Xenopus tropicalis: one gene and its partner. The protein of the gene in region 1 interacts with the protein of each later gene in a pairwise test. Links are inferred from orthologs where the notes say so. Each region holds a gene or a part of one and is shown on either strand. Other genes may lie near its edges.

Region 1 (4,026 bases):
TAAACTCCCAGCACATTACAGCAACTAATTCTGTCATTTCTACTTCAGGGATGTGGCCCTCTGGCAACACTGGGGAGGTTGGCAGACTGGGCATTCCTTAGCTAATGTGTGTTCTTCTCTATGGTTTCATGCCCAGGTCAGAGAAAGCCTTGGGCATTAAAATGGCACTGCAAGCACTGCGGCTTTGCCTTATGGCTACAGCCAGCTGCTGGAGAATGTTGCCAATGGCCTCCCCCGAGGAAGCAGCAAGTCCCTGTTTTCCAATTGCCCAATGAAAGAGCCTTGTGTAATAACACCCCCAGGTTTTAGTTTCACATGTTAGCTCTGTCCCCACAGCAAACAGTTGGCTCACACTGTAACAAGAAGCTAGCCACCAATGGAACTACTTTGGTAGTACAGCCCCACTGGGCAACTTAGACACTCAGCCCCAGCATTGGGTGCTTTTATATTCTCCCCCAAAGGAGTATATGGTATCCAATATGTCTGGAACAGGCTAAAAATGCAGTTTTGGGATTCTGTACCAGCCCAAGGCCCCCACAGCCCTTTAGCAGGTAAGATCTGTGCCCCCAAAAATGCCCCCCGTAGCCCCCTTTTCTGCTCTGGGCTGCTGTCACTGCGGCCAATGGGCCCACTATACAGTCTATATACACTATAACGGGCCCACTATACAGTCTATATACACTATAACGGGCCCACTATACAGTCTATATACACTATAACGGGCCCACTATACAGTCTATATACACTATAACGGGCCCACTATACAGTCTATATACACTATAACGGGCCCACTATACAGTCTATATACACTATAACGGGCCCGCTATACAGTATATATACACTATAACGGGCCCGCTATACAGTCTATATACACTTATACGGGCCCGCTATACAGTCTATATACACTATAACGGGCCCGCTATACAGTCTATATACACTATAACGGGCCCGCTATACAGTATATATACACTATAACGGGCCCGCTATACAGTATATATACACTATAACGGGCCCGCTATACAGTATATACACTATAACGGGCCCGCTATACAGTATATATGCACTATAACGGGCCCGCTATACAGTATATATACACTATAACGGGCCCGCTATACAGTATATATACACTATAACGGGCCCGCTATACAGTATATATACACTATAACGGGCCCGCTATACAGTATATATACACTATAACGGGCCCGCTATACAGTATATATACACTATAACGGGCACACTATACAGTATATATACACTATAACGGGCCCGCTATACAGTATATATACACTATAACGGGCCCGCTATACAGTATATATACACTATAACGGGCCCACTATACAGTATATATACACTATAACGGGCCCACTATACAGTATATATACACTATAACACTCACAATTTATAATGTAGATATTGATAGGAAGTTTCAGTATATGAGAAAGATATTCCTAAAGTTGAGGGGTCCCAGAATAATGTTGCTGTGGGGCAAAGTAACCACTAGTTCCACCACAGCTGGTACTGCATGAAGGTGTCTCCACTTGGCAATTACTTACTATGCATACCTGCAACATAGGAACAGCGCATTCCCCCTCAGGCAAGCTTACTGAGGCACTATACCGAATAACCATGTCATGGGCAGGACTGTTTCCCAAGAGGTTCTGCAGCTGCTGACTGGGGGGGGGGTTCTTGGTACCCTAAGGCTAGTTTACCCACTCTATGCCCGTCCCAAGAGGTTCTAAAGCTGCTGACTGGGGGGGGGGTTCCTGGTACCCTAAGGCTAGTTTACCCACTCTATGCCCGTCCCAAGAGGTTCTGCAGCTGCTGACTGGGGGGGGGGTTCCTGGTACCCTAAGGCTAGTTTACCCACTCTATGCCGGCCCAAGAGGTTCTGCAGCTGCTGACTGGGGGGGGGGTTCCTGGTACCCTAAGGCTAGTTTACCCACTCTATGCCCGGCCCAAGAGGTTCTGCAGCTGCTGACTGGGGGGGGGGTTCCTGGTACCCTAAGGCTAGTTTACCCACTCTATGCCCGGCCCAAGAGGTTCTGCAGCTGCTGACTGGGGGGTTTCCTGGTACCCTAAGGCTAGTTTACCCACTCTATGCCCGGCCCAAGAGGTTCTGCAGCTGCTGACTGGGGGGGGGTCCTGGTACCCTAAGGCTAGTTTACCCACTCTATGCCCGGCCCAAGAGGTTCTGCAGCTGCTGACTGGGGGGGGGGTTCCTGGTACCCTAAGGCTAGTTTACCCACTCTATGCCCGGCCCAAGAGGTTCTGCAGCTGCTGACTGGGGGGGGGGGGTTCCTGGTACCCTAAGGCTAGTTTACCCACTCTATGCCGGCCCAAGAGGTTCTGCAGCTGCTGACTGGGGGGGGGGGGTTCCTGGTACCCTAAGGCTAGTTTACCCACTCTATGCCCGGCCCAAGAGGTTCTGCAGCTGCTGACTGGGGGGGGGGGTTCCTGGTACCCTAAGGCTAGTTTACCCACTCTATGCCCATCCCAAGAGGTTCTGCAGCTGCTGACTGGGGGGGGGGGGTTCCTGGTACCCTAAGGCTAGTTTACCCACTCTATGCCCGGCCCAAGGGTGAGGCTGCCAGCCAAGCCACTTACATCTGGTACTCATCAATGGCCTCCACCAGCTGCCCCCATGAGTCGAAGTCAGTGCCCTTCTTGAGGCTGGCGCTCCATTTGTGCAGGATCTTGTTCAGGTCAGTCATGGCTGGGAGCTGACGCCCCTCCCGGGGCAGAAAGGGATGAGGGGCAGCTCAGCTCCGCATGTTTCCCGGGCGCTGCCAGCCGCACTGTGCCATTCAGCTGCAAGAGTAGCAGATCCCCTGACCCCCACCCAAAACCCAGCAGCCTGCATCCGCGGCCAAGCCCCTCACAGCCCAGCCCTTCCCTTACTACCATTTGCGTACCGAGCCTCGCTTCTAGCCTAAACCACGCCTACACGCAAGGTCTCCTTTGTTTTGCTTCGCGCTGATTGGGCAAAGTGTTTTTAGAAACCACGCCTACTTATATATAGTTTCAACCGAGTCGCGTCGTTACCCAGGTAACTTCCTCACCCTCAGAGGCTGCGGAACGCTTATGAGCTACTGGCAGTCTCTATGGCATGACGTAATCTTATGGGTGACGGGGGTCAGTGAGGGGATGATTGACGGGAGGGACTTATATAAAGGCGAAATGGCTTGGAGTTTTATATTTCAGTGACGCGCTAGTAGGGAGAGTGAGGGATTCCCGAGTGTAGGTGTACGCATGCGCAGATGGAATGTCCCTAGTCTGTTCCGCCTATGGGCGTGAGTGGGCGGGCTTACCTTGCTGCGTCAGAACCCGGAAGCGAGCGTGTGACAGTCGGCTGGGTAGGGGGATATGCGCAGAGTTTGCGGCACTGAAGTGGTTTAGTCAGCCGGCTGCGCTCAGCTTCTTAGGGGTGAGTATAACCTACTCCTGACCTAATGCCTTTCCAGCCCAACACAGGGCCGGGTTTATGGTAGCAACGAATGTGGCCCCACGGTACAGGGTGTGAGTTGGGGGGTAGGTATACTGCTTTACAAAGGACACATTGTTAAATGTCCCTATATGTAATAAAAGGCACTAAGTTTGCCCAGGAGCAGTAACCCATAGCAACTAATGGTTGCTATAGGTTACTGCTCCTGGGCAAACTTAGTGCCTTTTATAACATAAGCCCCAAGAGGTGTATTTAGTAATAGTGGTTAGCATTACTGGGGATGTTGCCCATAACAACCAATCAGATCTTTGCTTTTGTTTTCTAGGGGGCCATTGAAATCTAATTGCTGATTGGTTGCTTTGGGAAACATCATCGGCAATGTTTGTCTCCTGTGTTAATAAATAAGCCCATTTAAACATGGAACCCAAATTCTTTTTTTAATTAAATCATCCATACCTGTTATAAATGTATTTAAAAATCTGAGCTGTCAATCATATATTGCCTGCCCCGCCTCTATGCCGGAGGCATAGAGGCAGGGCAGGCAATATATGATTGACAGCTCAGATTTTTAATTACAATTACTT
Region 2 (4,113 bases), about 140 Mb from region 1:
CCTTGTTATGGGCTAAGGGGGCCCAGCCTGAAGGCCAGTTAGGGGGGGGATTTGGGGTGAGTGCTTATTTGTGCCCTGGGTACCCCTGGAACTATAGCGGGGTGACTGTTACCCCAATGTTTCTATATATCTGTAACCTTGTTATGGGCTAAGGGGGCCCAGCCTGAAGGCCAGTTAGGGGGAGACTGTATCAGTCCTGACCTGTCTTATTTGATTTGGTTCTCTCTCCCTGTGCCTATGGTAAGACTGCTCCAGAGACCAGAGATGCTTGTTGCACTGACTGTGACCATTTCCCTGAGTGCCGCTATACTGAGCAGAGAGAGTGCATGTAGCAGAATGAGATGACTATGGCAGTTCATTACCTCATAGTTGATAGAGGCTCCGAGTCCCAGAGTGTTGTTCTTTACTTGCACCTTGATGTGGTCTGTGCTCCCTTGTTCCTTAGCTCCCAGCCCCTATAAGAGAAAAAAAGAGACAAACTTTAAAGTGGTTGTTCATCTTTAAATTAACTCTTAATATGATGTACACAGTGATAATGAGAGACAATTTGCAATCGGTCTTCATTTATTATTTCTGGTTTCTCAGTTAACTTTTTGTTCAGCAGCCTTGCCATTTGGAATATCAGCTGCTATCTAGTAGCTAGGGTTTTGTTTACCTTAGCAACCAGGCAGTGGCTTAAACAAGAGATTGGAATATTAATAGGAGAGGGACTGAATAGAAAGAAAAAAAACCAAATTATAAAATTGTAAGCTCACAGAGCAATCGTTTTTATCTGTCGGGGTCAGTGACCCCCATTTGAAAGCTGGAAAGATGTAGAAGTAGAAAGTAAATCATTCAAAAATGATAAAAAAAATAATGAAGACCAACTGCAAAGCTGCTAGGAATAGGCCATTCTATAACATAATAAAAGTTTAGTTAAGTTAAAGGTGAACCACCCCTTTAACATAGGGGGCGTTTATACTGTGACCAGGGCTCCACCCCCCTTATTGACCTAAATCATCCCAGAGAAGTTCAGTGTTTAGCGTTTATTTCTTTTACATTTCCATATCCCCAAAAAGTTGCCCCTCCCCCAGAGTGAAAGAAATGGCTAATAAAGTTACCATGATGACTCGAGTTGTGGCGGTATAAAGAGCTACCTACCTTGCCTTTGGACCAGCCCATCTTTTCCAGCATCTTCTGGCCAAATTTGGACTCATCCTTACTCCAGGCGCTGTTTCTTGGGTCTACCGACCATTTCTGTTTCCTACGGGCTAAAGGCAACAGCGCAGGTTATACCCCAAATGTGCCATTAAAGTAACACTGTTATGGGAAAACATGTTTTTTTCAAAACCCAGCAGTTAATAGAGCTTCTCCAGCAGAATCCTGCATTGTAATCTGTTTTTCCCATGGGGCTAGCCATATTCTTCATTTCCCAGGGTGCCACAGCCATGTGACCTGTGCTCTGATAAACTTCACTCACACTTTACTGCTGCGCTGCAAGTTGGAGTGATATCCCCCCCCCCCTCACCCCCAGCAGCCGATCAGCAGAACAATGGGAAGGGAGCAAGATAGCAGCTCCCAGTAGGTATCAGAATAGCACTCAATAGTAAGAAATCCAAGTCCGGCTTTGGACTCCTCCAGTTACATGGGAGTAGGAGAAACAATAGGTTAGCTGAAAGCAGTTCTAATGTGTAGCGCTGGCTGAAAGCTCAGACTCAGGCACACTTTACTGCTGCGCTGCAAGTTGGAGTGATATCCCCCCCCCTCACCCCCAGCAGCCGATCAGCAGAACAATGGGAAGGGAGCAAGATAGCAGCTCCCAGTAGGTATCAGAATAGCACTCAATAGTAAGAAATCCAAGTCCGGCTTGGGACTCCTCCAGTTACATGGGAGTAGGAGAAACAATAGGTTAGCTGAAAGCAGTTCTAATGTGTAGCGCTGGCTGAAAGCTCAGACTCAGGCACACTTTACTGCTGCGCTGCAAGTTGGCGTGATATCCCCCCCCCTCCCCCCCAGCAGCCGATCAGCAGAACAATGGGAAGGGAGCAAAATAGCAGCTCCCAGTAGGTATCAGAATAGCACTCAATAGTAAGAAATCCAAGTCCAGCTTGGGACTCCTCCAGTTACATAGGAGTAGGAGAAACAATAGGTTAGCTGAAGGCAGTTCTAATGGGTAGCGCTGGCTGAAAGCTCAGACTCAGGCACAAGGCACTGAGATGGCGCCTACACACCAATATTACAGCTACAAATACATTTGTTGGTTTAAGAATAAAAGGTTAAATGGCAGAGGGAATTATTTGCGGTGTAACAGTGTCATTTAGAAATAAAAAGTACCCCATAAATATCATGGCAGGGTCCCTTTAAGTTGCCACAACAATGATTGTTTCTGTTAGAAAGCATTGGTGGGGGGGATATCACTCCAACTTGCAGCGCAGCAGTAAAGTGAGACTGAAGTTTATCAGAGCACAGGTTACATGGCTGTGGCACCCTGGGAAATGAAATCATAGTAACTACAACTCCCAGCATTCCCAGTGTTACTAAGAGTTGTAGTTCAGCAGCAGGGGAGCCACACAGAGAGTCACATGGTGTGTAAGACACATGGCTGCCCCCCCACTGACACACTTGGTGCTGCAGCAGTGCAAGGGGCAGAGTGCAAGGCTAATGGCAGGCCCCCGGGCCACACTTACGCTCTGCCAGCATTGCCATGGTCCCGGAGCTGGAGGGCACTGCCGGGATAGATGTTCCTCAGGGCACAGCTGGGCGAAAAAGGAAATAATCCCGCGTCACAGTGACCGCGACACAGCGTGTTGATGACGTAAGGCCGGGCACAGAAGCTGCTGTTAGTCACGTGAGCGCCAGTAAAGGGGCGGGGCCACTGGTAAACGCTATATATATTCCTGCCGCCCAGTAACAGCCCTAGTATTGAGCAGAATGCGGAGTGTTATAGCGGGACTGTGAAACTGAACCTCTGCAGTCTGTATCGGTATAAACCGATTCTATACATTCGCCTTTTGGCTGCTTGGTGTTTGTTTTGCTCTAGCGTGAGGTAAATGAGAAAGGCGAATATCAATAAAACGTGCACATTTCTATAGGGTATCCGTGTGTGCGTTACACCACTTCCCCTTCAAAGGGACCCTGCCATGTTATTTATGGGACACTTTGTATCTCTAAATGACACTGTTACACAGCAAATAATTCCCTCTGCCATTTAACCTTTTATTCTTGTACCAACAAATGTATTTGTAGCTGTAATATTGGTGTGTAGGCGCCATCTCAGTGCCTTGTGCCTGAGTCTGAGCTTTCAGCCAGCGCTACTCATTAGAACTGCTTTCAGCTAACCTATTGTTTCTCCTACTCCCATGTAACTGGAGGAGTCCCAAGCCGGACTTGGATTTCTTACTATTGAGTGCTATTCTGATACCTACTGGGAGCTGCTATCTTGCTCCCTTCCCATTGTTCTGCTGATCGGCTGCTGGGGGTGAGGGGGGGGATATCACTCCAACTTGCAGCGCAGCAGTAAAGTGTGCCTGAGTCTGAGCTTTCAGCCAGCGCTACACATTAGAACTGCTTTCAGCTAACCTATTGTTTCTCCTACTCCCATGTAACTGGAGGAGTCCCAAGCCGGACTTGGATTTCTTACTATTGAGTGCTATTCTGATACCTACTGGGAGCTGCTATCTTGCTCCCTTCCCATTGTTCTGCTGATCGGCTGCTGGGGGGGAGGGGTGGGGGAGGGGGGATATTACTCCAACTTGCAGCGCAGCAGTAAAGTGTGAGTGAAGTTTATCAGAGCACAGGTCACATGGCTGTGGCACCCTGGGAAATGAAGAATATGGCTAGCCCCATGGGAAAAACAGATTACAATGCAGGATTCTGCTGGAGAAGCTCTATTAACTGACGGGTTTGTAACAAACATGTTTTCCCGTGTCAGTGTTACTTTAATTTAAAGTTGAAAGTTAACAGGACCTTCATTACAGTTACTATGGGTGAGCTCCATAGCAATCTCCCCAGCCCATGTCCAAGACGGAGCGGCTTGAGTCCCCGGTGCGCTTCCTGAGTTATGTAAGGGTTTAACATTCTGTTTCCACAGGATCCATAAGAGACGTGTCCATTCAGAGTCGTTGTCGCTCTACA

The links. The genes of interacting proteins can lie anywhere in the genome.
Region 2: the proteins of aida (region 1) and pinx1 interact in binary tests that used the Homo sapiens proteins (3 or more experiments, as listed by UniProt). The link is inferred for Xenopus tropicalis from reciprocal best matches to the Homo sapiens genes AIDA and PINX1.

The regions. Positions count from the first base shown.
Region 1 is NC_030681.2:9,589,431-9,593,456, reverse strand, and holds the start of aida (axin interactor, dorsalization-associated protein), read right to left. Parts: upstream 2,801-4,026; 5' UTR 2,712-2,800; coding exon of another isoform or gene 2,605-2,711; intron 1-2,604. UniProt on the Homo sapiens protein: Acts as a ventralizing factor during embryogenesis. Inhibits axin-mediated JNK activation by binding axin and disrupting axin homodimerization. This in turn antagonizes a Wnt/beta-catenin-independent dorsalization pathway activated by AXIN/JNK-signaling.
Region 2 is NC_030681.2:151,067,331-151,071,443, reverse strand, and holds the start of pinx1 (PIN2/TERF1-interacting telomerase inhibitor 1), read right to left. Parts: upstream 2,801-4,113; 5' UTR 2,686-2,800; coding exon 2,667-2,685; intron 1,251-2,666; coding exon 1,141-1,250; intron 456-1,140; coding exon 363-455; intron 1-362. UniProt on the Homo sapiens protein: Microtubule-binding protein essential for faithful chromosome segregation. Mediates TRF1 and TERT accumulation in nucleolus and enhances TRF1 binding to telomeres. Inhibits telomerase activity. May inhibit cell proliferation and act as tumor suppressor.